Sus scrofa: one gene and its partner. The protein of the gene in region 1 interacts with the protein of each later gene in a biochemical or structural test. Links are inferred from orthologs where the notes say so. Each region holds a gene or a part of one and is shown in the gene's direction. Other genes may lie near its edges.

The links.
Region 2: of the proteins of USP33 (region 1) and ARRB2, one has a biochemical effect on the other in vitro, tested with the Homo sapiens proteins (2 studies listed by BioGRID, with this or other methods). The link is inferred for Sus scrofa from reciprocal best matches to the Homo sapiens genes USP33 and ARRB2.

What each region holds. Positions count from the first base shown.
Region 1 is NC_010448.4:135,565,816-135,569,630, forward strand, and holds part of USP33 (ubiquitin carboxyl-terminal hydrolase 33), read left to right. Parts: exon of another isoform or gene 1-73; coding exon 74-246; exon of another isoform or gene 247-351; coding exon 352-446; intron 447-1,096; coding exon 1,097-1,130; intron 1,131-3,571; coding exon 3,572-3,617; intron 3,618-3,815. UniProt on the Homo sapiens protein: Deubiquitinating enzyme involved in various processes such as centrosome duplication, cellular migration and beta-2 adrenergic receptor/ADRB2 recycling.
Region 2 is NC_010454.4:52,167,580-52,171,494, reverse strand, and holds the start of ARRB2 (beta-arrestin-2), read left to right. Parts: upstream 1-1,132; 5' UTR 1,133-1,239; coding exon 1,240-1,262; intron 1,263-3,915. UniProt on the Homo sapiens protein: Functions in regulating agonist-mediated G-protein coupled receptor (GPCR) signaling by mediating both receptor desensitization and resensitization processes.

The sequences.
Region 1 (3,815 bases):
GCAATCTAGAATCTATCCTCAAATGTTTGTGCTGGATTATTTTCATCCTGTTCTTAAAACAAAACAATTTTAGGTGTCTGTAACCCTCGAGACCTTTCAAGATCTATCCTTGCCTATCCCTGGCAAGGAAGACCTTGCTAAGCTGCATTCATCAAGTCATCCAACGTCTATAGTCAAAGCAGGATCATGTGGTGAAGCATATGCTCCACAAGGGTGGATAGCTTTTTTCATGGAATATGTGAAGAGGTATGTATGTATTTTGTTTGTATTAATTGATTGTTAAAACCGCTGTTTCTGCTGTACTGGCAGAACATTTCCTTCTTTTTTTTTTTTCTGTCAATAATGTTTCAGGTTTGTTGTCTCATGTGTCCCTAGCTGGTTTTGGGGTCCAGTAGTAACCTTGCAAGATTGTCTTGCTGCCTTCTTCGCCAGAGATGAACTAAAAGGTAAGAAATAAGAAATAGTTTTCATCTATGACTAAACTGTTGTGGGTTATCTAAAATGCTACTAGGGCTAAATATAAAATGTATTCATAAAAGCTAAGTTTCCTGGCAGCCTAAATAGTACTTGCCCATATTGCCACAGTGCCAATTTCTACCATAGCAATATAAATATAAATACTATAAATCATATCCTAAAACAATTTATACAAATTCCTATAGTACTAGACAATATGGTATTTGAAGTGGCTTAAATCTGCTCTGGGATTCAAAGAAAAGAAAATTCAGCCAATATAAAACACTGGCTTCTATATCTGGATTGGTCTGTGAATTCCTCCCAAGTATTTAAGGTTCTTCACTACTTTTATGTGTCAGCATCTTGCTTCGACATATAACAGGCAGTCAGTAGATTTTGTTCAGTGAATAAATGGACAGGTAGGCCTTCAGGGTCAAAAAGAGAGGGAAGTGAAGGGTGTTGTAGGCAGGATAAGCATCATGCCCTGACTCTTGAGCAGAGACTGAAAAAAGTCAGCCTTGTGTTGCTGTGCTCCAAGGTCAGCATGTGGCAAACTTGAAGAATTGCAGAACAAAAAAAAAAAAAAAAAAACAACTTGCTTTTAATTTGAGAGGAATGACCAGATCTGTTCTATTTTCAGGTGACAATATGTACAGTTGTGAAAAATGCAAAAAGTAAGTGTTGTTGGCAGTGCTTTTAATTGCACATTTTGTATTTTATTTTTTTCTTTTTTTGGCTGCCCTGAGGCATATATAGTTTCCTGCCAGGGATCAGATCCGAGCTGCAGTTGCACCCTAAGCCAAAGCAATGCCAGATCCTTAACCCACTGTAATGGGCTGGGGATCAAAACTGCATCCCAGCGCTCTTAAGATGCTGCCAATCCCGTTGCACCACAGCAGAAAGTACACATTTTGTATCTTAAGTGGTTGTTTTCTTGTTATTTGAATTGGGCATATGGGATTAATTTCCCACTTTACTTAGAAAAATTAAGCCGGGAAGCTTTGTCTTAGTGAAAAATAAAGAATCCGGTTATTCTGTAAAACAAATCAGATAAAAAAACATTTAACAAATTTGATAGGACTAGCTAAGATGGGAAAGTGTATTTTGAGATATAAGTATGTAAGTTTGCATAAAACATATTCCAAGTATGTTGTAAATATGGACTACGTCATATAATATACATTTTCATTACATAGATTAATTTTGTCATCATAAGTATAGCAGTATTCTCATACAGGTTACCATGCTAACAGGCTAGATTTACAAAGTGAAAGTGACTATAAAGGTACATAGTTTCAAATCTGTGTAAAATTCAGAAAGGTTATACCATCTCTAATGTTACCTGCTGTATAAGAGCAGAATAAGAAGACAGTTAAGAAAAGTTTGATTTTGTCACTAGCTGTCTTTTTCTTTTTCTTTTCTTTTCGGCTGTTTCTTTGGCATGTGTTAGTTCCCCTGGGCCAGGGATTTCATCTGTGCCACAGCAGTGACAATGTTGGGTCCTGAACCTGCTAGGCCACCAGAGAGCTCCACCTTTTTCCATCTTGCAGCAAGTTCAGGCTTTTGGATTGTTTGTTTTGCCCGGTGGCATGTGGAAGTTTCCAGGCCAGGGATTGAACCCACACCACTGCAGTGACAATGCCAGATCCTTAACCTGTTGTACCACGAGGAAATTCCAAGTTCAGGCTCCAAAGTCTTCTTGGTGATGAGTTTGAAAAGAAAAGTAAATGGAGAACTGAAAGCAAGTATGTTTGAGGTAGAATGAACTGGAAAATTTTTCTGAATCTAATAGAAAAATAATAGCCTTCTAATAAGATCTAGAATCTTGGGGTTCCTATTGTGGTTCAGCAGTTTAAGAACCCAGCATAGTGTCTGTGAGGATGCAGGTTCGATCTTTGGCCTCGCTCAGAGGATTAAGGATCTGGTGTAGCCGCAGCTACAGCTTAGTTCACAGCTGTGGCTAGGATCTGATCCCAGGCCCAGGAGCTCTATATGCCACAGGATGGCCAAATAAAAAAAAGAACTTGCATCTACCCTAAAATCCGAAGTAGAGGTCTGTCAAATGTGTATTATTATTGGTAATTACTAATTTTTAATTATTAAAAATTACTTATCTCAAATTATTTGTTTCTATATTTAAGAAGAAAGGTCATAGGGAGTTCTCTGGTGGTCTAGTGTTTAGGACTTGGTTCTTTCACTGCTATAGCCTGGGTTTGATCCCTGGTCTGGGAACAGATACCACATAAAGCCGCTACATAGAGCAGCCAAAAAAAATTTTGTATATACATACAAAAATTTTGTATACACACACACACACGTGTGGTGTGTGTGTGTGTTTAATTGACCTGACTCAGCCAATTCTATGAAATTGGGTTTGTTTTTTTTTTTAAACCCAGTTTTACTTGATATCTGAATGTTATAAAGGTATAGCCAGGCCATAGATAGTAGACTATTTTCATCAAAGAATTATATAACTCCCTACATTTTTATTACTGAAAATCTTAAATTTTTAATTTGGCTGTGCCTACAGCATGTGCAGTTCCCAGGCCAGGGATCGCACCTGCACCACAGCAGCAACCAGAGACACTGCAGTGACAACACTGGATCCTTAACATGCATGCTAGGCAAACTCCCCTAATGATCTTTTTTTTTTTTTTTTGCCTTTTTAGGGTCGCACTTGTGGCACATGGAAGTTCCCAGGCGAGGGGTTGAATTGCAGCTACAGCTGCCAGCCTGTGCCACAGCTACAGCAATGTCAGATCTGAGCTGCATCTTCGACCCTACATCACAGCTCACAGCAACACTGGATCCTTAGCACACTGAGCAAGGCGAGGGATCCAACCCGCATCTTCATGGATTTGTTACTTCTGAGCCGTGACGGAAACTCCTCCCCTAATAATCTTAATTTATATGACTTTTTACAGTAAGGGATTCCAGGGTTTTATTAGTATATACATTTTTAAATTAGTAGCATATAAGACAGTAGTGAGCACTTTTTGTCTGATATCTTTGCGTTTTCTAAAAGGTTTTACTATATATTTGAAAATACTAAAGGTTTTGTAGATACATATGGGAAAAAGTTTATTAAAATTGGTTTCCTTGTTTTACCCCTTAGGTTGAGGAATGGAGTAAAGTTTTGTAAAGTACAGAAGTTTCCTGAGGTATGGGCTTTATCACAATTCAGTTTATTTTGTGTGGTAGGAATATAAGGCATTAACATAACACAGTGTAGTAAATTTTTTTATCATTGGTTGAAGAATAGAATGGTTCCATTGGCCAGTTGCTGTCTTTATTAAGATTATCCATTTTTTAAATGCCGAGTTGCATACTAAGTAAGTGCCTTTACCAGTAAAACTGTA
Region 2 (3,915 bases), on another chromosome or scaffold:
AAAAAAAAAAAAAAAACAAAACCCACTACTGGATCGACCGCCCTCCTCCAGGAGAGGCGCCCCCCCATTGCCTGCTCTACAAAACCCTTCACACTCTGTTCCACTCATCCAACCCAGTCTTATCACCCCTGCCCTCTCACCCTACAAAAACCTCAAAACAGGATGTGCCTCGCCTTTCTCTCTCTTCAGAATACCCTTTCTCAATTTCCGCCCACCCTTCAGGAAGATTATCCTCAAATGCCCCCTCCTCTGGACAGCCTGCCCTCCCTCCATTCCTCCCCCAGGAAAGGGCTGAGAGTCGCTTTGTCTTCTGAGTCATATCTCTAGTAAAGCATTCCTGGGATCATAGTACCTGTTTATGTGTCTCCTCAACCATACGAGGAAGGCAGGGGCCATGTTAATTCATTTCTGGGTCCCCATCGCCTAGCTTAGTGATTAGCGCAAAATGGGCATAGATAGATGAAATAGATGCAAGCGTGCGTGAATGGATGTTCGCTTTGATGAATGGGTGGAAAAAGGTAGGAAAGTAGCCCTGCGAAGATCAAATACCGACACTAGGGGGAGCTGACACATCACGCTAAGGAAACAGGAGGGCGGGCCAAAGAAGGAAACAAGCTCTAGGGTGAGCGGGCGAGCGGCGCGCAATAAGCGAGCATCACGCAACTGGAACCTCTCGCCCACGTGTGGATCCCCTCATCCTCCCTGCCAGACTGCTAGAGCTCATCCACCGCCCCCACCACCCCCTTCGCCTCCGCCGTCGCTGAGAAAGCAAACAAAGGGGCGGGGACCCCTGCAGGGTCCGGAATGGATAAAGCCAATCAGAGGCTCTTATTTCCTGAAGGCGGGCGCCTTCGTTTGAGGGGACCCAATCAGTGCCTAAGCGGGCGCGGAGGGGTGGAGAGATGGGCGGGAAGAGCAGAGTGCAGGGACCGCGCGCGCCGGGGAGGGGGGGTCCCTCGGCCGGGGTGGAGATGGGGGGCGGAGGGCGGCTGGAGGAGCCAATCACAGCGAGTGCCTGTGAGGAGAGGGCGGGCAGTGCCGGGGCGCGCGCGATCCGGGCTGACGCATTTGGCCTAGGCTCCCCAGGATCCGACGGGGGGGGCGGGAAGGAGGGGAGAGGGGAGTGGAGAAAGAGCGGGGGCGCGCGTGCGCAGTGGCGCGGGGAGGAGCAGGGACCTGGCAGCGGGCTCTGAGGCTGCGAGCGAGCCGCGAACCGGGCGGGCGGCGGGCGCGCGCACCATGGGGGAGAAACCGGGGACCAGGTAAGAGAGGTGGGGCTACGCGGCGGGACGTGGGTGGCGGCTCCAGACGGGTACTGGGACGGTTCCCAGACAAGGACACCCGGGAGAAAATTCAGGGGCCGGACGCCTGGGTCCCTAGGGGGCAGCCATCCGGGGCCGCACGCCTAGGTCCTCGAGGATAATGAGGGCAACGCATGCCACAGACCCTGCAAGGGGATCTCTGAGGGGATCGGGAAACCCGTATCTGGGTTCTCGAAGGGATGTGGGGGCTGGACGACTGGCTTCTCCGATGCAGGCAGCGATGCAGGGGCGGAGGAAGGAGCAGGTGGCCGGCCCCAAGGGGACTGGTATGGGCAGGCTGGATGCCAGGAGGGGGATCCCCTTAGACTCGTGCTGAGCCACTGGAGAGCCTCCTGTCCACTACCCTCCAAGCAGTCGGGCTCCCCCAACCTGTCCCAAGGGCCGGGTGGCTCCGCTTACAAACTTCTGCCTTCCCCTGGGTTGCTAGGAGCAACAGCTTCATCTTGGGGCAGCAAAGTGCCTGGCGACCCTCCCCGATCTGAGCCTTACCCCTCTTCCTGGGGGTGAGGGGAGGCAGTGTCTGCCCTGGGCACGCCATCCACTCCCCGGATGTTTTCTGTGCAATCGAGGCTCCTTCCCTCCACTGACACCTCCAGTTCTCTTTTTTGGTCTCTAGCAAAATCCACTTCCTGTTGTGACCCAACACCCCCAAGGGGGCAGGGGGTGAATGCCTGAGTCCCTGGGGAGCAGGAGCAAAAGAGGAAAAAGATTGGGGCTCTTGGCTTCTATTCAGAGAGGAACAGGAATGGTGGCCTGGTTCTGAGCTGTCACTTATTCTGCAAAACACCCTATCAGCCCCACCAATAGAGTAGGAAAACATAGATCTCTGAGCACCAAGTCGACTGATCCTGGAGAGATGATCAGAGGGCCGATTGGCGTCCTGGATTAGGGGTTAAACACAGAGAAAGGGGAAGTTGCTGACTTGAGGGAGGCCCCAGATTTCCGTTATGTGGTTCAGGGAGGGGGAAGGATGGGACCAAAGGGGGACTGCTGACTTGGCACAATTCCTCCCACCCCCATCAAATTCTGGGCCACAGGAAATGGAGAGAATAGTAGGAAGTGTGAGGGGGCATCTGCTTCGGCTCCCCACCACCACCGGGGGGCATCTCTGGTCACCCACACTCTACCTTCTTGGTCAACCTCAGTGTACAAACGCTGTTCTTCCTCAGCGTGGCAGGAGGCTGGCTGGGTTCGGCTCCAAAGGTCAGGTGCCCTGCAGCTGCTTCAAGGCATTTACCCCACAGCCACACTCCAGTTGTCCAACGGATTGTGGCTGTCACCACCCTCTGCCAGGACTCCTAATTGGAAGAAAACACTGGGCTAAAGAGGAAAACCAGAAGCAAAGGGGAGGGAGAGCTGGATGGTGCCATTGCAGTACAGCCCTCGCGTGGGGACAAGAGATGGGGTGCTTATCCTAGCTGCCACCATACCAGTGTTTGCTCTCCTTTATGGAGAGCCTCCATCCCTTTTGCCTTATGGTCTTTAGATAGATGGCCTTCTGGGAAGAAGGGGCATGGGAAGTTGTTACAGCAGAAACTGGGGTGGTGGAACTGGAAAGAGGGATGGGCCACTTGGCAGGATTTCAATTTTTAGGCCCTGGGGACCCTTCCCAGGCATCACTGCAGAGGCAGAGTGGGCTGGGAGGAGGAAGGTGGATCGGCAAGGAACAGGCCCACAAGTGGCCCGGGCACAGGGGTTGCCAGGTACCTCCCTGCCCTCCCAGCAGTGGCTGGAGTCCAGGCTTAGATTTGTTTCAGCAGCTGGAAAACAAATCCCCTTCCCTCCAACAGACATAATGGCAGTTACAGAGGGAGGACAGGATAATGGTTTAGTGATGGGAGCATCGACTGGGAGCCAGCCTGCCTCTGCTCGTACCTGAATTCCACCGTTTATATTCTCTGTGACCTTAGGCAAAATACTCGACCTCTCCTACGCCTCAGTTTCCTCACCTGTGAAACAGGAACATTAGGACCGCCGTCATGGGGTTGCTAAGAGTACTGAATGAGATAACACAACACGAGACACTTTGCCACAGTGCTGGGCGTGGACCATCCCTCCAATAAGTGTTAGCCAGCATCGTCATCTTTGTCTTATGGCTGCCATTGTGCTGGGTTTGCCGAAACCAGTAAGGCCTCAGCTGCTCACAGTCTGTCTAGGGAGACATGATACACAGCTCACTGCCCTCACACGCTATCCACCACGGGTGAAGCCTCAACAAGGTGTGACAGCAATCCCCCCAGAATCTGGGGGGACTGACTGGAATCTAGGCTAGATCTGCTTTTTGGTTGGTTGGTTTGTTTGCCATTTCTTGGGCTGCTCCTGTAGCACATGGAGGTTCCCAGGCTAGGGGTCGAATCGGAGCTGTAGTCACCGGCCTACGCCAGAGCCACAGCAACGCAGGATCCGAGCCACATCGGCGACCTACACCACAGCTCGTGGCAACGCCGGATCCTTAACCCACTGAGCAAGGCCAGGGATCAAACCCACAACCTCATGGTTCCTAGTCGGATTCATTAACCACTGAGCCACGACGGGAGCTCCAAGGCTAGATCTGCTTTCTAAAGGAGATGATAGCTCAGAGGGGCCCTCAAAA